2 linked regions of the Oryzias latipes genome follow. The protein of the gene in region 1 interacts with the protein of each later gene in a biochemical or structural test. Links are inferred from orthologs where the notes say so. Each region holds a gene or a part of one and is shown on either strand. Other genes may lie near its edges.

Region 1 (4,232 bases):
TGTAAACTGCTGCTCGACAACAGCCAATGAAATCCAAACGATCGTCTGGCAAACTCGTCTGGTCTCACATGGGCATCACCCATTCAGTTGCCATGGAAACGTGCTGCAGCGCAGTCTCTTGGCTGACTTACTCCTCATCCGAAGAGAGCACAGTACATGAACAGTGGTTTGATAGACGGCTGTGCTTTTTATAAATCTATTTATTTTACAGTTTTTTTCCAAGGTGTGTAAAGGTGTAATGTGCTATGTGGCAGCTATGAGTACTGTGTCTTTATTCCAGGTGTGAAACAATGCTGACAAATCAAGATTTTATTATTTGGCTATCCAAAAAAAGTGTACTGTATTTATGATTCAATGTAAACATGAGTAAAGTTGTTTTTTAAAGATTTTGGAGGTTGGTTTTGTTATAAATTCAGACATCATCACCAGGCAAAGTATTGAAAAGGTTTTTTATAGCAAGAATTGAAAGGAAAATATCACTTTTGAAAACATCTACAAATGCACAACAATCTTAGTTATAAAAGTCAAAAATAAGTTAGCAAAAAAATAAAAAATAAAATTGCAAAACCACTCTGTAGAAAAAAAAGGGAACATATTTACATCACTGGCATTTATAACCTGTTTAAATTAAGCAGATCTTGGTCAAAACTGCCATGGTACATATTGGCCCCACAAACAATCTCATGTTTTGTTTAAACATTTAAAATTCACACAAAAAGAATGGAAAAATTTGGGAAAGGTTTTGAAAAGAGAAACATCTAATTTAAGTAAAGTGAAGAACCAAGCTTTGTCATATGAATCTTTGATTCTGGAAGCAAGCATACATGGTAATTAGGTGTTTTGGTTCATGCAATAACATCCTTGAGTCTGACAGGTGAGCTCCTGTTATCTACAGCTCTGAACTATGGGATAAGGCAGGCAATAAGGAAAAGAGGTCTCATTGTGTAAAGGAAGAATTGGTTTTGGCTTGAAGACCTAAGGAACAATAAAGTTTAATACAAACCAATGACAAATTTTTATAATTTTGCACAAGATAAAACACTCAAATCAGAATAAAAAAAGGAAACCTAGGTTTTTTGTTGCAATATTTGCCAAATGTTCATTTTTTGTTGTGTTTGTGAAGTTGAGCATCTGCTTGGATGGTTCTGCAGGTTACAGGCTCTATTTGGGAATGTCCACAGAAAAGGTCACAGGTCCGTCAGCCGCAGAGATGCCTTCCACAATAGAAGTCAAGGAGCGCATGTTCCTCTGCTCTGGAGAGTCACCAACACTCAGAAGATCTGCAGACAAGACCGGGTTCCACAGTCAAAACCAGTGAAGGTGTTCTAGTGACACCTCATGGGACCTTTGAAGAGTACTCACCCTCGCTGCTGTAGCTTTGCGGGCATTGGTCTGGAGTGCTGCTCCACTCGGGGCTGCTGCAGCAGGTGCTGCCTGAACTTGGTTCGCTTGACGATGACACCTGTTGCCATGGACACGCACAGACAGAAGTTGCTGTCAGTCACTGTTTTAATGCAGCACAAAACCTCGCAGATAAACACTGAAGTAGCCTCACACACTCAATCACTAATGCATCCTGTGGTTTATCAGAAGCAAATTAAAGTTTCCATCTTAAATTATGGTCATTAATAAGCTGTCGGTGTCACTGCAACTGTCACTTTTGGTTGATATAAATATTTTATAATTACATAATCCCAAATGGTTTAAAAAAGCACACATACATGTATATTCTTATTCTTGTTTTTTAAACATTTGGAATTTATATCTAAATAAAAATTCCGAAACATCCACAACCATCGGTTTTAGCAGGTCTTACAATGGGTTCGCTCATCAAGTTGCGCCCTGAAAAGGTTTTTTATCTGAAACCTAATTTTTCCATCTCTTGTAGCCAAGTTTGTAGCTTCTTGTCTTCCTTTTTCCAAATCAGTCAAAGGTTTCTGTTCTTGCTTTTCTTTGGCTGGTTTTGCTCTCTGTGACTTCTCCCCTCTCCTAAACCTGGTTCCATCCTACTTACTCTTGGCTGGGCCGGGCTGGGTCTGTAGTGCAGTCCCTGCTGCCCTGTCTCTGTGTCCTGCTGGTTGAGGGAGGACACCAGAGCCTGCAGCCTTTCAATGTACTGGATGGCGCTCCGCAAGATCTCCACCTTGGGCAACCTCTGGTTGGGGTTCATCAGGGTGCTCCTCTTCAGAGCGTCAAAGGCCTCATTCACTTTCTTTAGACGTCTCTTCTCCCTCAGCGTGGCTGCTCTTCGACGGTCCATGGTCACCGTCTTTCTTTTACACAGCTTACAGGCCCATGGCAAGCACTGCCCAGGGCAGTGAGACTCTGAGTGAGGTGACAGACTGGATGGAGATGATTTGTCCTCAGGTGCTGGCACTCCAACACCTCCAGGGAGGCCTCCGCACAAACCCATTATGGAGTTTCTGTCCTGGTACCCAGTTTGGTCGTATGCCCCGGGCAGGCGAGAGGGGAAGTAGCTGTCCCCTCCTTCATAGAAGCGCTGGTCAGGAAAGAAGTAAGGATTGGTCTCGAAAAGCTCCATGGTGGGCAACTGTGGTCTAAAAGTGAAGGAGCAAGGATCCCGCTTTCCCTTAGGAACCACGCTTGACTCGGTCTTCTTCTGTCCTGCTTCTGGAGCTTATGTTGGAGTGTCCAAGTGTATGCTTGTCTTCCTCCTGGCCTGAGTTTGTGATGAGTGGAAGACGTGTGGAGAACAACTGGTGTGGAGCAACTGTAGGCTGGCATTTAAACCCCTCTGCCTGTTGCAGGATCACAGGGTTAAATTTAGCACTTGCCTCCAGAAACCTGACACGACGTTTAGCTGTTGCTGCACATCTACACTTCATATCTCTGTTGGGCCTTGCTCTCTAGGGCTTTAAGACATGTTGGTGTGTTTGCATGTGTGTGCCCTTCTGCGGTTCCATGTTACCCATTTGAGTCTTGAGAGACCAGGATATGATCAAGTTGCTGTGGAACAGGAAATGATAACCTTAGATCAAATGTATTTGTCTTAATAAGATAATCCCAGACTAGATTCCCCCTTCCTGCCACTAAACACCTCATTCAGGAGGACACTCTGGGTGCAAAGGGGACACATGCAGGGACAGTATGTTGTGGCAAGACATTGAGAGTTTGTTTTTGTTTTGTGATGGCCACCAGAAACAATGTGGGAGAATTGACATAACTGTAAACTGACAGGCGACATTAAAGCAATTGATATGAAGCAGGCTTCTCTGTCTCTGTAGAAGACAAGTCTTTACAGGCAGCTCAGGAAGTTAAGATTGAAGCTAACGCAAGCTCACTCTGGAAAAGGATGGGACAGTATTGAGAGGACCAAGTAGGAAGGAAGGAACGTCCTAAATTATTCCAGACAGTTCTGGCGTTAGCTTGGCGGGCGGGTGTTAATCCTTCCAGGATGTCTCTAACCTCTAAGTTCGCAAGTTAATTTCGACCAACCTTTCCAAACATGGACACACAACCAAAAACATTTTTATTCAACAGAGAAGCAGCTACGGAATGGGTTGTTGCATCTTTGCATCACATTTTGTTTTTTTCCATAGGAATTATCACCTGGCATAGGTTTTGCCTATATTTTGTGTCCTTATAGTGTATTTGCTGCATTTTTATACTATTTATCTGTTATTATCTGCTGTTTTGTTATCTATCTATCTATCTATCTATCTATCTATCTATCTATCTATCTATCTATCTATCTATCTATCTATCTATCTATCTATCTATCTATCTATCTATCTATCTATCTATCTATCTATCTATCTATCTATCTATCTATCTATCTATCTATCTATCTATCTATCTATCTATCTATCTATCTATCTATCTATCTATCTGTCTGTCTGTCCCACTGCCCATCTAGTCAATCCAGGGCTATCTGCCACATGTTTCTATGCTGCCTGATACAACGAATACGTCCAGGAAAAACAAGTCTGGACATGACAAACCTTAAAAAGCCCACTGCAGTCATGACAGAAATCCATTTAAGCGTGTCATCTCGAGGGACGTGGCGTCTCATTAAAGCGAAGTAGACGTTAATTTGTAATTTTCTCTCCTTTGTTGTTTACAGAAGTGAGTCGCTGTCGGTCTCAAAATAGAAGAAAAGTTTCAGTTCTGGACAGGCAGATGTCTACTTTTATGCTTGTCATCTAGTCTTGAGGTTTGGGCTCTGGTTAATGCAAAGTAGGATGCTGGCACAGGACTGCAGAGGGCTGTCA
Region 2 (15,812 bases), on another chromosome or scaffold:
TGGTGGGAAGCCAGTAAAGACCTGCAGGCCGGCGTAACCTCCGACCTCTTAACTGTGACGGCTGTGTGACCCAGTCGTGTTCTGTGTTCCAGAATGTGGTGGTGTTGGCCGAAGCTGGCTTTTTGGATCCAAGGGTATTCTGCACCTCTTGTATGGTGAGACTGACGGTGCAAAACTCATTTTTAATGAAAAAGAAAGCAGCCACTGGTTGTTGACGTGGTTGTGGTGTTTGCAGGTGAGAAAGCCACTGAGGGCTAACCACTGCTTCAGCTGTGACGCCTGTGTGGCAAAGCAGGACCACCACTCTGCCTGGCTTAACACCTGCATCGGTATGACACACAAGCACTTTCTATTTTTACAAGACCTGATCAAATGCAGCAAGTCCATTTTTACCCTTTAACTCTGAAGAGCTAAATGATTAATGTTATCACAAGGGTTTGTAGTTATGACGGGAAGCGTTTTGTGTTCTTGAAGGTGCAAGGAACCACCATTTCTTCATCCTGTTTCTGCTCTCGCTGGTGTTGACGGGGTGTTGGATGCTGTTCGGCTGCGTCTCCTGTGAGTGGCTGCACAGCAGCGTAACCCAATCAGAGGCTTTTATTTGTGTTTTTTTCTTGTTTTGTTTTTCTAACGTGCTCCATGTCTTTAGACTGGTCCACTCATTGTTCACTGCACTATGAGGATCAGGGCCTGTGGAGCGCGGCCTCAGCTCTGTTCGGCTGCTCTCCTTGGGTCCTCGCCATCTTCCTGCTCTCTCTTTATCACACCTGCTGGTCTACCTTGGTCTTGATGATCCAACTCTATCAGGTAATTCCCAAATATCATGTGATTGGGAAATAGCAGAAAAGTAGAGTCAGTGTTGCTTTATTGGATGGTTGGATCCAAACATGTCAAATGAGTCATTTGGTTCTTTTTTCTGCAACATTTGATGCTCTGTGATTGTTTGTTTTGGGTTTTTTGTGCAGATCGCCTTCCTGGGGATAACTTCAGCAGAAATTCCAACTTTAAGGTTCCAACAAAGGAAATTCAGACCCTCTGCCTCTTTGAAACAAAATCCTTTCAAGTAAGTCAATTGTTGTGAATTTTCTGTTCCCACCTGTTCCATTGGTGTGGGAGGGTTTTCCAACCTCGCTGCTCCGCCCCTTTCATAGTTACTAGAAACTGTTTTTTTTCCAAGAAAGCTGAGTTTAACAGGATAAAAGACACCAAAACAGAAGATAGCTGGTTCAAAGCTGGTCCATCTAAAAGCAGGACTTCATCTCGTTTAAAGTTCCAATCCTCCCTGGATCTATTTTCAAAGTGGTCTTTTTATCACAATTATTCCGTTCTTAGTAAAACATTTTAAATGTTTTGAAGGTTCTAGTTTCTGCAGAGCAGGAGGAGTTCATTATACATTGACCTCTGAGTTATGGGTGGGACTGTTTCCCATCATCCCTTTGTTTACACTCTCTCCTGTTAGCTTACAGCCACTCACATCCCCAAGGTAACATTAGCAGAGCAAAAAAAGGCAAGCAACATTGGAGCTATCAAGATGTACAGTTTAGATTCAGATTAGTCCAGATTCCAGCTCAGACCAGGACACAAAGACCTTCATGGATCTGTTCGTCTGACAGTGGATAAATCAGAATGGAGCAGGGCAGGGAGATTGTGGCCTGCTGACTATAGTTTGTTCATAACAACTACTAGCTTTTTTCATCAGCTCCTGATTTACAACAATTTTTATAAAGAAATACTCAAACATAAATTTAATCTCAAATTTCTTTATTTGTTCTCCATCATGAGAAACATGCTACAAAAACATGTTAAAACCACCAAAAACACATTGGAATGGGTCTTTAATTCATGTAGTGTAATGTTAGTGTAACTGCAGTGAAAGCTTTCTGTCAGTTGTTTGAATCCTGGTTCAAAGACGTCCTGTGTTCTCCTCTCTTCGTCCTCTTACAGCATGGGTGTGGTGCAGAACCTGGTGTCGTTCTTTCAGCTGCGCTGTTGTGGATTCTGCAAGCCAGTTGTTACGGACTGGACGCAGCAGCAGCACCCGCCGCAGTGTGACCAGTTTTTGTTCGATCAAGGCAACATGGTCTGACCTCCTCCCCCCTATCCCTCAGGGTCAGACTCTGGTTCTGGACCAAAAGCACAGAATGTATTTATTCTTGTACGTGTTGGTTCCTCTCAAAGGGAGGCTGTGGTACTGTGGGAACACAAACCAACATGTGGACTCTGTCATTCAGCTGATCTCTGTACAGACTGCTGCTGCTGCCTTATACTTGACCGAAGTGAGGAAAGGGAACATCAGATCCATGGCAACGTGGATGAATAACCATTAAAGTCCTAAGCTGTAATTGAAAGGATGTGCTGTTTATATATTACAGAAAATCTAAAGCCTATTTTTATCATCCGTTCTGACATTTAAAAACAATCTTTGTATGTGTACGATGGTTTTATCACTTTTGTAAGAGTTGCATGTGTTTATTAACAACCACTATGATGGTTCAATAAAGCAACTTTGTGCCTGTTTTTGGATCAGCCTCTGCCTGGAGTAACTCATCAGCAAATCGTTGCCTTCTAGCTCCTCCCTTTAGGGGGCGACACAGTAACTCATCTACTTACAGCATGTCTGTCGTCCTCGTCAACACTGACCACCCTCAAGTCCTTAAATGTATTTATTTATTTGAACTTGTCCTGTCCCACACCTGAGCAAACAGATCCGAGCTGAAGGCCTCTTGTGTTGGACAGATGTTTAACAGGAGGTTATGAATCTTCACACGTGAAGTTCATATTTGTATACAGTGATCCCTCGCTATAATGCGGTTTGTTTTTCACGGTTTCGCTACTTCACGGATTTGCATCGTGCATTGTGTTCTGTATTCTGATTGGCTAAAAAGTCACTCAGCTTCTTCTCTACCTGTGCATCAATAATGTTGCAGTTTAATATGTACACATAAGTAAATCAGCTTGCCAAATTTACAACATGATGTACGTGCAAATCATCTTGCAATTTCGAGTTTCTCTAAAACCCATAGAAAAAAGAGCAACAACTGCCTATCACTATGTTCTTCCCCCGAACAAACACACCTGCACCGCTGGCTTTAAAAGAAGAAAACACTGCAGAGCGGAGTCAGGATGCAGCGGCTCAGTCTGAATAGCAGTGAAATACACCTGAGTCACTATTTGTCCAACTGTACTTTGTATTTTTGTTTCATAATCATTTTAAATTTTCTCCCGTTTAATCCAATACTCGGGTCGCGGTGGGCGGGGCTAATCTTCGCGATTTGAAGCCTTCTGTTCACATTGATGATTAAAATTATCATTTGACAGTACAGTACAGAAGTTATTTGTTGAAAAAAAGTTTCTAAAGTACTTTTATTTGTGAAACAAATGCTTGAGCCTGTAAAATGGTTTGTTCTTTCTTTTCAATGTATAATAGAGTATTTAATTGTATAATAATTGTAAAAAAAAAAATACAGGTTTCTACTTCACGGATTTTACCTATCACGGGTCCTTTTTGGAACGTAATCCCCGCGAAAAACAAGGGTTTACTGTAAACCCTTTTTGCATTTGAGGCTAAGCTTTCTTTATAATTATATTTATATACATTCCTTGTTGGACAGAAAGAAGATAAAGGGAGAAAGTTGGATGTTACAGATAGAGGGGGGGTCGTTAATACAGAGTCACAACATAAGAGTGTCATAAGTATATGGGGGGTGCCCCCACCCCCAGATGCAGGCCGGGACCACTCCTCTGGCTGTGGCTTTATTTGTTTTTTTTTTTTCTGTTTTGTGTATCTTGTTTGTATCAGAGTGGGACCTCTGTGTTTTTGTGGATCGTTGTGTGTGTGTGTGTGTCTGTTTGATTATTTTCAGGTGTGGGGCTGAGAAGGTGTGGCTTCCATTGGACCCAAGCTGATGGAGGCAGCCTTTGAAAGCACTAGGTAGACCTCCAACCTGCGAAAAGGTGACTTTCTGCAACCTGCCGCCACTGCAGCTTGGTGCTCTACGCCACCTGCTTTGTAGTTTGTGTTGGACGATTGCACAGTTTTAGTCTTTTGTTCGTAGTTACGGTATGTTTAAGTGAGGCTTTAGGGGTGAACTGCCTTTTACTTTCACATCTGTTCTCTCCTGTTTGTTAGTAGGGACTTTAGTGTTTTGTCATTGATTTCCCTTTTCTTTCATTCACAGGTTCAGATTTATTTTTCTTGAATGTATTAGTAGACATGCTTTGTGAGTGTATGACACTTTTTTCCCAACACTGCTATGCTTTTAACAAATTTAGCTCTGACTTTCTTCATTTGTGGCTTCCAGCTTATGGTCCATAATTACTCCAAGGAACTTAGTTTCAGTCACTCTTTAACCACATGAATATTGATGGCAACTTTTACTTCCAGATTTGCAGGAACGTGGCAACTTTCAAAAATCATGAATTAGTTTTAACACTGAGTGAGAGTTTATTTATGTCAAACAATTGTTTTAGTTTCCCTAATTAAAACTATTTACTAGTTTTACAACTTTCCTGAGATTCTCCCCTGTACATACTATAATTGTGTCGTCGGCATATAAAAAGTAATTAAGTGTATTTGACACCATGTGTATGTCATTTAGATATAGGATGAACAGTTTTAGACCTAATATTGACCCTTGTGGTACTCCAGTTGTCCAGTTGTTTTCCAGTTGTACAAACTGTTGCCTGTTTTTAATCCTACTGTTGAACTAAATTAGTACCAGTTCTTGTTTTCCATATCTTTGCAATTTGTTTTAATAAAATGTTATGATCAATAGTGTCATATTACTGGGAATTTCTGATTTGAAGACCAGAAATAAAATAAAAAAAACTCTGGGGAAAAAAGTATTTTGTTAACATTGAGGAAGCCAGAAAAGCGCTATACAAGTTCACAGCATTTACCATTATTCATTCTGAAATGCTCAATGTATACTTTTAAATTTAAGTGTTATGGGGAAAAAAATAACACAGTTTTCTTATTTTAATCACAGAAGAGTAGCCCTTAAGTGGCCCTTAAGTCTCTGAAGGTCGAGTACCCACAGGTTCACAACGGCTTAGGAAGTGCTTGTAATTTAGCCAATTACAATCAAGAAATCATAGCTCTTAGAATTTACGTATCATTGAGTTTAGGACAGGAGCCTGCAGACAGGTAGAAATTTGAATGTGGGGCCACATTTGGCCAGACTTCAAGACGTGCCTTCTCTAGACGTATTTACTGGTAGCTCCAACCTCAGCATCCTTTTATCAACATAATCACTGTTCCTCCTCTGCATTTATCTCCAGAACATCTGCCGTGATCTGTTCCTTTTGATGGATTCATTCCTGATCCATCCAACATCTTCACCTCTGCTACATCCAGCATCTATCTCCTGTCTCTGCATTAGAGTCTCTAAACTAGGGCTGCTCATTCCTGGTCCTCGAGGTCTACCACCCTGACTGTTCTCCAGATCTCCAAGCCCTGCTAGCTGCTGATTAGCTCAATCAGATATCTCCAGATTCTGATTGAATGAACACACCTGGTCCAGGTAATCAGCAGCCCTGCTCTAGACCAACAACATGGTCGCTATCACCACAATCTTCTACACCTCTCCTTTTGTCCTTGGTGACACTCTTTTTGAGAAACCTTCCTCCACCTGTTTCATCCTCTTTATCTCTTCCCTACACCCTGTTGCTCTGGATTGTAGACCCTAAGTCCTTAAAGTCCTCCACCTTCTTCTCATCTGTTCCCTGTAACCTTCCTGTTCCGCTTGAGTTCCTCTCATTTACTTACAGACTGTTCTGCTGCCGCTGACCTTCATTCTTTTCTTTTCCAGAGCAAACCTCCACCTCTCTAGATGTTCCTCCACCCGTTTCCTTCTCTCACTACAGATCACAATGTCATCTGCAAACATCATGATCTGCATTAATTGTGGTTCTAATTGAAACCCCTCTGTCACACACTACACCTGTTCTACAGCTCTCATACATGTCCTGCACAAATACAGTTCCTTCTCTTCGAATGAAACATACATACGGATGCCCTCATCCTAGCTTCCACTACTCTTCCCCATAACTTCATGGTATTACCCATCAGCCTCACTCCTCGGCACGTCTGCCTTTTTCTTAAAATGGAACCAGAACTCTTCTCCTCCATTCCTTCTCATTGTCTCACTCTCCGAGATCTTGTTGAACATTCCAGCCAGAAGGTCAACTGCCACTCCCCCTAAACACCTCCATACCGTCACAGGTAAGTTGTCAACACAAACAGCCTTTCCACTCTTCATTCTCTTCAATCTCTTCCTCACTTTATCCTGGTTGATCTTTGGTGCTTCCTGTTCTATAATGTCCACCTCTTCTCCTTTTTTTATGGTATTCTTCTGATTCATCAACTATCTGATCGGAAGTTTGTAGGTTTGGCTCCTGCCTTGCCTGCCCATGTGTTGAAGTGTCCTTGAGCAGGACACTGAACCATACGTTTTCTCCGGCGGTTATAGGTTCGTGCCGGTGTTCAGCAATGGAGCAGCCATCAGTATGTTTATGTGTGTGTGAATGTGACTGTAAAGCCCTTTGGACCTTTGAAAAGTGCTATATACGTCTACGCCATTTAACATTTTACCATTTGTCCTTGATCCCCCTGACCTGCTGCACATCCTTCCATTTCTGTTACTCTGCCTCACCTGTACAGATTATTCCCTTCCTCCTTTGTGTCAGAACTGCAAGTTTTAACACGGCCTTTGTTAGTGTATTTTTTCACCTTCACCTTCAACTTGTGCTGCATCTTCTCTGCTACTGTCTTCGGTCCTCTCAGTGTCCCACTTTTTCTGAGCAAACCTTTTCCTCTTAACACCCAACCCCTGAACTTCTTCATTCCACCCCCACATCTCCTTATCTGCTTTCCGCATTCCAGATGACACACTGACCACCTTCCTCCCAGTCTCCCTGATGTTTTTAGCTACTTAGTTTCAGCTTAATGATTTATAGAGTTTGGCTTTGGATGGCTGTTACATTTTGTTGTTCACTTATTGCTATAATATCTGTAATTGATTTTCACACATGACCCCAGATTAAAGGAAGACTGAACCGATTGTAGCAAGCATCTTTAATGATGTAATCCATTGTGCTGCTACTAGCTGGGACAACATGCAACAAACATATTCCACCCACTCTGGACTCTAAAAAAGATCTCAGTTTGCATTTGAAACTTTTTTTTTCATTCATTGAATCCACTTAGAGACATTTCTGTCTTGAATGCTCTTTGTCTGGTGTAGCGATCATTAGCTGGTGTTAAAGTGAAGGACGTGCCTCCACAAAGACGGCAGTCCTACGGGGTTCACTCTCGTTCTTCCAACATGGCAGCGTTTCCTAATCCAAAGCCTTTTGGACCAAAGTTTTTTGCGTAACAAACTGAAAAGGAAATAAGATCAGACGGCTCCTTGAGTTCCAGGCAGCGTTTCTTCAGACCAACAAATGGATGTTCTCTACGAACCTTTGCAGTACAGCTCTCCATCCTTGTCAGTCACTGTGGTCGACTCCAGGCTTTTGCCACAGAGAGCGCAGCGGAAGCAGGTTTTATGCCACGCCTGTACACAGAAAGTTATGGCAACGCAAGTTGGATTGTTTGATTTTTCATCTGACAAGTACCATTTCAAGACCCACTCCGATCATATTTTTTTCCTTCAAAAGAGTGCCCAATGGCATTTTAATTATTATTTTTTAGCAAAAATCAAGAAACCTGTCTTGTTTTCTACGACATAATTTCTGCAGAGCAGCAGTCGATCAGAAATTCACCTCTGAGTCGTGGGTGGGACTGTTGGCGCCAAGTAAGCCTGCCCCCACTTCCCATTGTCTATCTGTTAACACTCTCTCCCGCTAGCTTACAGCCCCCTCACACCCCCGCCTTAACATTAACCGCTGCAGCAAAAATGGTAAGTAATATCAGAGCTATCCAGCAGTACAGTTTTAGCCAGATTTCAGCTCAGACGAGGAAAACAATGACGTTCATGGATCTATTTGTCTGGAAGTAGATGAATCAGAATGAAGCAGAGCAGGGAAACTGTGGCACACTAAGTGGATTTTATACATCACAAATACACTCTTTTTCAAAAGAATTTAAACGTTTTTCCACATCTGCTTCTGTTTTACAACAGTTTTATGTGTAAAGAAATACTCTTAGCTCTTAAGCTTACTGGTAATTTTATTTATAAATGTCCATCTTATGAAAAAATGCCACAAGAAGTTGTTAAAAACACAATTTTTTTCTAAGTGGGTAAAAAAAGGTTTTTCAAACCAGTGCAGAAAACCAAATTCGTTCATTTGTGAGACATTTCTGCCTCTCCTTCTTCAGAGGTAATTTTTACACTTTTTTTTTTTTTACCTCTCATCGTTTAATAACTCTATTTTTCTTTAGCTTTACAGGTCCAAAAAGACTAGTTTAGGTAATGAAATCCCACAATTTAAAGCAATCACATACAAGTACAACAATTTACAAATGGCTTACTGTATGCATATTCCAGAAAATAAAAAATCTAACTTAACTCTACACATCTGACTGATGGATTTTTCTGCTTTCACAACCTGGAAAATATTTTAAACTTCACTACATTGAAAACTGAAACACTGTCAAATCATCAAATCTATACTCTTTGATCATCATCAAAGAGTATTTATTTTATTTTGATATCAAGTATCAAACAGTTTTCCTACTGTCACTGGAGAGAAATGTGCAGGAGTATCAGACAGTCTGGTCTCAAAGTCCAAGAGCTGAAATACTCCAAACCGGAGATAGATGGAGCCATTTGGTCACGAGAAGTGGCCCACACAGCTGGCTGAGGCCAGGGATGCCTTTAACATACCGTACTTGTCTACGTTTCTTTGTTTTCCAACCCTCTGAGAAAATCCTCTGGGGTCCACGTTCAAAGAGCTCCACCAGAACAGCAGAAAACTATATTTAAAAACACTTTAATTCTAATTAGCTGATACTTCCCTATGTTCAAAATTTACACTTTTATCTGCCAGATCTGCCAAAATTCTCAGCATATGAAAAAAAAGGATTTGCTGACTTTGTCATGTTTTTTATTTGCTGTTTTACATTAATTCAAAGTAAAGTAGGGTTTTCATTTGCATCAAATAATTCTTTGGTCAGAAATGATCTCTTTGAGCATTGTGGGTTTCGTCAACAGAGAAGTTTGGATCACATGTGTCGGCTTCCAGCCACTAAAACTGTCTGGTCATCTTAAACGAGTGTGTGTTTGTGTGAGCGTGTGTGTGTGCAGGAAAAAAGATTTAGGATTGGAATTCCTGAAAATCTGTACCAGATTATGAAAAATTATGTGTGTCTGATAAATAAGACTTGGAACAAGATTAATTTCACAGAGTGTGCTAATGACTTTTGTATATGTTTTGGTTGCATTCAGCAGTTGAGAATTTTCTCTACGTGTTTGTTCCAAAACCTTTTGGTTTGGAGGAGGAACATGAAAGCTGCTGGAATCAATAACTGTTAGCTCTGGGGATTGTTGTAAATGCACATAAAAATACTGATAGACCGAAAACATCCGGAGTCAGAGGGAGTGTTTACCTTTCCTGCTCCCATCACCTTCTCTGCTGCGTAGACAGCTTTGGAGCAGCGGGGGCAGTGGTCTGATCCCCCAAGCTTCTGTGAAAGCTTATTGGTGCTGGGGTTGGAAGAGACCGGACGGGGCTTAGATCTAGACAAAAATGGTGGGCCCAGTTAGGTTTTAAAGAACGAACATGTGACTCTGCATCTTTGGTTACAATTGCAAAACATGAAACGGATCAGCTAAAGTTCAGATGTCCCGTTTGAAGCTTTGTCTGTATACGAGAACTGGAGTGAGGATGACGTCACCCAGCTCCAACCAGAGGAAGTCAATTCAGTCGCCATTTTTTTCGATACAGACGCCACCATGAACCCAGACAACGTCAGAAAGCAGTGATTGGTCTGAGTCAGTCTAAATCATTATTTCTATGGTAACAACTCTCAGCAATTAGAAGGGAGCTTGTTGAAACACAAAACACATTGACACCTTTGACTTGACAGTAGGCTACATGAAATCTGTCAATCAAATGTTTTGAACGTTGGACATGGGGGCCTGCAGATACTTCATGCTTTATTGAGGCATCTGACTAGTCAGTTTATACCTTGAATAACTTGCCATAAAGGAAAATGTCATTTAAAAAATGAGGATCAAGAACATGTTAAAAAAAGGATCAGACCAACAATAGTTATGACCAATAGACTGACTGACAGCTGTTTAGTTTTTCTATAGAAGTCTATGGGATTTTGGCTTCTTGGAGCCAGCAGGTACTTCCTGTTTGGAACCCCAGGGGGGAGGGGTCACTCCGTCCAGTTCTCATCTACAGTCAATAGTTTGAAGTGTTTGCTGTCATGGTAACAGCCAAAGAAAAGGTTTGTAGAGCTCCTCCACCAAATGGTCTTTTTTTTTTGTTTATATCTACAGTAAAATATAAACAGGGCTCTGCAATCAACCTTCTTTACGTACTCTTGTGGCTGCAGGTCTTCTTCCGGTCCTGCAGGATCAGAGCTCAGAGCTCCTGCTCCTTGACCGTATCCATAGCCTTTTGGTCCATACTTCTTGCCATAACAAGTCTTGCAGTAAATCTCTGAGTCATGGGCTGCAACGGTGGTACTGTCCAGCCCTTTTCTGCAACTCACTGCATGAAAGTAACATGAATAGTCCCTCATGAAACCTGGCACAGAGGAATCACTCCATTACCCTGAGTGAGGAATGCCATGAAGGGGGTAATGGAAGTTAAATAAAGCTGACAGCCAGCTGCTTTTATCATGGAACAGCAACACATGATGTCTTGTGTTGCTATTTGTAGAAAGAGAGAGGAGTGTGAGGTAAATGCTGGAGAAAAGATGACCACTTAGCCGATGGATGAGCTTATCGAAAAGGTCTTTTAGAGTTTCCACTGGAACAACATGTCAGTCGGTTATCCAGTTACCTAACAAGCCAGAATGTTAATGTCTCTGCACAAGCAAGTGTTCAATTAATACAGAGATTTAGCAAAAGCTTGGTTGCAGAAGGTTTAAAAACCCGCAGGAGGAATTTACAGCGTTGCTAAAAGGATTTTTTTTTTGAATATTCAAGGTGACTACGTCTTCCTGAGGTCAAAGGTCAATGAAACTTTGGTTGTGGTTGGAGATTGAAGCTAGTGATATGTGTGTGAAATTTTCTGAAGATTGCTTAAACAAAAGTTTTTTCCCTATATTGCAGGAAAATGTGAAAATCACAAAATTTGACACTTTGCCACAAAATGGCCGCCAAACCGTAGGTCCCGTGTCCATCCCTTAATAATTTTAAAACCTCCTTTGGATCTCCCCAACACGTCTGCTGGGAGATAATGAATGGGGTCAAAGAATTTTTGACCCCATTTTTTACGGTTTCGCCCACAATTATGTCGTCATTTTTTCGTGTGTGTGTGTGTGTGAGGGGGTGGTTCACTTTTCCCAAAAATCATTTTCACTGGGTACTAGTTGCGTGCAAATTTTGGTGAGTTTTGGAATATGTGCTGGGGGTTACATTTTTGCTAAATCACACTGTAAGAAAGAAGAATTGTGAACACAAAGTGATATTGGACTCCTGCGGGACAGAACAATAATAATCAAGACATAAAATGCTAAACTGAAAGTGAGGGGAAAAAATTTAAAAACTCATAATAAACTAATTAAACACTTAAATAATTAAATGGACGGAAATTTTAGATGAGAGAAGCTCTAAAACAGTGTCCAGAATATTTCTAATTTTTCTCTTTGATCTGAGACAACAATGAACTTTGATCAAATCCTGGGGAAATATTTCTACCAGATGAGACACTGACAAGTGAAACCATTGCAACAAAGAACATTTTCTCACTGCAGATGAAGCAGGTTTTGTGGAAGCTCCTCCCATTGCACTGGATCTCCTCAGCATGGTACACAGTCTTCATACAGGCTGCACAGGAAGCTCCTCCTCCCCAGTTAGGCATCCCAAAGCAGCTTGAAACAAAGACAAACGATCGTATTAGTCTACAAACTCTTTTTAAATTCAGGAGTAGTTGTGCTTTGGGCGTCTTGACAGTTCTAAGCAGAGCAGTGACACACAAAAACCTTAAAAGATTTAGTGAGTGACATTATTTTTTCTGATTTCATGCCAAAAATATTCAGTTGAGCATAACAGGACTGGGATGAGAATAAGGAGCTCCAGGTTTGAGGCCATGGTTCTGAGCCTGAAGCAGTGGAGGCCCGCATGCTGGTGCAACATCTTGTGTCGGTTTGTCAAGCAAAAAATAGTGTGATGAAGAAAAAGTCCCTGAAGGGGGCGCCACATTGAATCCTCTGCCTAAATCTAATCCTCTCCTCTGCATTGTCCTCGTTTACACCAACCACCCCCATGTCCTCCTGTTCTCTACATCCATGAACCTCCTCTTTGGTCTTCCTCTCTGTGCTCAGCATCCTTTTCCCAACATCACCATTGTCCCTCCTCTCAACGTGTCCAAACCATCTCTATCTGAGACATAGAGGGTCGTAGGGAGGTACGGCTGCATCTGAAAGGGAGTGCGGGTGTGTCATACACCCACCTCAAGGGAAGTCATAAAAATGTATTGTCCGATTGTGTGTGTGTGGTAGGCGTATCGTGAAGTTTCATAAGGATAATGTAAATTGCACCAAAGTTAAGGCCCGTACACACCGGGACGAATATTCGCCAGGCGTTATTCGCCAGCGTTTTTCGCCACGTTTTTTGTGTTCACACCCAGGCGATTTTCGCTGACGGTGAGCCGAGCGAACATGCAATTTCATTCCCTGACATTAGATGGCGCTTAATGTAAACAGAAATACTCCTGTACACAAGGTGGCGCTGCGCAACTTTACGATTCTTAAAGTCGCTTTTCACTCAGAAGAAGAGAGCAAGTATTTACGCGCTTGTCAGAATAATACAAAGAAAACATGAATATTTCAAGCACCAGTAGCTCCAACTGGTACTTGGTAAGGGGATATTTAAGAATATCCGTCATTATTTCTTTGCGGCAGTGTAGACGCTACTTGGCGTCTATCTTCTTCGCTGGTATGTGTGCTCAGCAAGGCAGTTTTGTGTTTGAGCGCCCCCAAGTTGTGTTTTACTGTAACTTCAGAAGCTCCAGACACGTGTGCAAAAGCGCCATTCTCATTGGTCGAATAGATTTCGACGCGTCGAAAAAAAAAAACGAACCCGAGGCGTTTTTTTTTTTGACGCTTTGGCGCGTGGCGTTTTTTCCCGTCGGTGTGCACACTCTCATTGGTGCCCTTTGTTAGTCACGAGGCGTTAAACGTCGGCGAAAATCGCCGGCGAAATTCGTCCCGGTGTGAACAGGCCTTTAGGGTGATGCTGTTGTACGATGTCCTTACGCCAAACTCTAATCATTAGTAAGGTGGGAGTACCTGGACCCCTACCGACTCATGCAAATGCTGCAGGCACGGGGTGTGCAGATAATACCTAACGGCCCATAGGAAGCCAGTGGAATGCTTACAAACCACACTTTGTCTAATTTCCTCAATTCTACAATTTAGGCTGCATGCACTTCTCACGTGGACAGCACTAATGTGCTCCTCGTGGGCCGAGCAGGATTTGGATGGTTCAACTAATGAAAAATCGTACATGCCTGCATCTCACCTACTTCCCCCTTCCTTGCTGGAAGGGGGAAGTGAAATGTCACCTATATCATGCCCGTAGAAAAAAACCATGCTGACCGAGTAGTCCAAGTGGTCAACAATCTTAAAATTTTGTGCAGGGCACCTGCATGCCCCGCACAGGTTCACCCATTTTTCGCTGGCAGACAGCCTGTATCCACCCGTAAGGGCAGTCGTGACTAAAGTCAGAGAGCTCCAAAAGAACTGCTCAGTCAGCTCCCACCCTCACCTGGCTGAACTCAGGTCACTGAGGACCTGAGTTCAGCCAGAAACCAGGAATTTTCTGTCTTAACAATACAGGGAGAAAAAAATACTGAGCGAAGGAGAAATGGGCCATTCTGAAGTCATCCCTAAAAGCTGTAACCGCCTTAAATACGTAACTGAGGGAAGATGTTTCTAAGTTGCTGCCATCAATCTGCTTTGTTTCTCCGTCATTGTTTTTCTGACTTTTCACATTTTTTAATTATTTATTCCCTAATCATTAAAAGTGTTTTTAGTCTTAGTTTTTTAAAATATATTCTGTATGTTTTACTTTGGCCCTGAGACAGACTGGGGACTTGTTCAGGATGTACCCTGCTTCGCCAACAGTAGCAGGGATAGGTTCCAGCAACCCCATGGTATTAAGCAGGTTAGACAAATGGATGGATTGATGCTTTAGTTTAGACTTAACAAAAGTAGTCAAAAGGAGATCATAACTAATTATTCTCTAAGTAAAAAAAACTGCTTTCTTTAGTTCCGTGGTTTTATGTAATTTTCAAAATGTTTTTCCCATTTAAGCCACAATATTTATATTAAGTTTTGACGCATCATCAGTTATCCATAGACTTTTGTGAAACCTGAAAGAGCCACGTTGCTGAACTGAGGCTTCTCGTCTGGTTTTTGGGCTCTCACCTCCTATCAGAGGTATCTGACACGTCACAGGGCTGGAAAAGTGCATTTCAAAATAAAATCATCATTTTGACATCATACAATGAATGGTAAGTCAGCAAATCCTGTGGTTTTATCAGGGACAAAGATAGACCTCAACTGAAAATGAACTGTAATCTTGGTTTTTACATGAAGCAGAAAAGTCAAAAATCAGGAAATTGTTGTCATTATGAAGAGAAAACTTAAATTGAGCGTGCTATTTCCAATGGACTGCAATATGCTTCTAAAAGATAAGCTTGAAGAGAAAGAGACATGCGCCTTACCTGTAGTCTCTGTCAGAGTGCTTTGCTTATGACAGAGAGGTTTAAATACCGTCTTCACATCAGCAGCACTCTGGCAACGCCTTGATGAAACTATCCTCTCAAAATAACATGTGACGGAGAGGAGGCCCCCCTGACCCTTTATCCCTATCTGAATAAGGCTTGAACATCAGCCACTGGAGCATTTGTGCTGCATTCACTGACCCATGCTGGGAGCTCTGACTTGATAACTGTGGCTCAAAGGCCATCTGCCCTGAATGCCACAGTATCATGGTATAAACATAGACTGTGCTGCAAGCCTAAAGAAACACTGTTTTACAGGAATCAAAAACTGCTGCTGAGTTTGTGGAAAGTATTCTCCTCCAGGCATCCTCTTATTTACTGTTCTAGAACAGAAATGGTTTTGTTTTTGACTGTCACACCTGTGAGTCTACAAAACTTTTCTAGACTTTGTAGAGAAACGTTTTAAACTAAAAGTGAACTTTGCTTTTTTACGTTTTCCTATAAAAAACCTTCTTGTACACATCCAAATGATACATTGGGATAAAAAAGTGGAATTCAAAAATTTAGGGAGAAAAAAATTGAATTCTTAATGAGAAACATAGATTCAGCAAGTTATTTAACCTTAAAAGATAAGAGGTCTATAATGTTCATCATGGAAACACAACTATGAGAGACAGAATGTTTAAAACGAATCTAGGAAATCCCATTGAATGGATTTGAAAAGAAGTATTTGGTCAATACAAGTTCTTTTCAATACTTTGTATTGTTACCCTGGTTGTTAATGACAGAGGTCAAAGGTTTCCTGTAGGTCTTCACTGAGTTTATTCTGTAACTGCAATTTTGGTCCATTCCTCCATGCAGATCTTCTCTAGAGCTGTGATGTTTCGTGGCTGTTGCTGAGCAACACTGACGTTCACCTCCCTCTACAGGTTTTGAGTGTGAATGTGAATGTGTGACTTGCA

What was found.
Region 2: the proteins of myog (region 1) and csrp3 form a complex in vitro, tested with the Homo sapiens proteins (2 studies listed by BioGRID and IntAct, with this or other methods). The link is inferred for Oryzias latipes from reciprocal best matches to the Homo sapiens genes MYOG and CSRP3.

What each region holds. Positions count from the first base shown.
Region 1 is NC_019863.2:28,569,191-28,573,422, forward strand, and holds myog (myogenin), read right to left. Parts: upstream 2,801-4,232; 5' UTR 2,543-2,800; coding exon 2,015-2,542; intron 1,463-2,014; coding exon 1,363-1,462; intron 1,281-1,362; coding exon 1,162-1,280; 3' UTR 436-1,161; downstream 1-435. UniProt on the Homo sapiens protein: Acts as a transcriptional activator that promotes transcription of muscle-specific target genes and plays a role in muscle differentiation, cell cycle exit and muscle atrophy.
Region 2 is NC_019861.2:6,150,900-6,166,711, forward strand, and holds csrp3 (cysteine and glycine-rich protein 3), read right to left. Parts: upstream 14,966-15,812; 5' UTR 14,851-14,965; intron 11,993-14,850; 5' UTR 11,983-11,992; coding exon 11,871-11,982; intron 10,666-11,870; coding exon 10,494-10,665; intron 9,681-10,493; coding exon 9,551-9,680; intron 7,557-9,550; coding exon 7,463-7,556; intron 7,381-7,462; coding exon 7,307-7,380; 3' UTR 7,057-7,306; downstream 1-7,056. Other genes in the region: palmitoyltransferase ZDHHC13, read left to right, coding at 1-2, 93-155, 236-329, 475-558, 650-807, 966-1,063, 1,945-2,086. UniProt on the Homo sapiens protein: Positive regulator of myogenesis. Acts as a cofactor for myogenic bHLH transcription factors such as MYOD1, and probably MYOG and MYF6.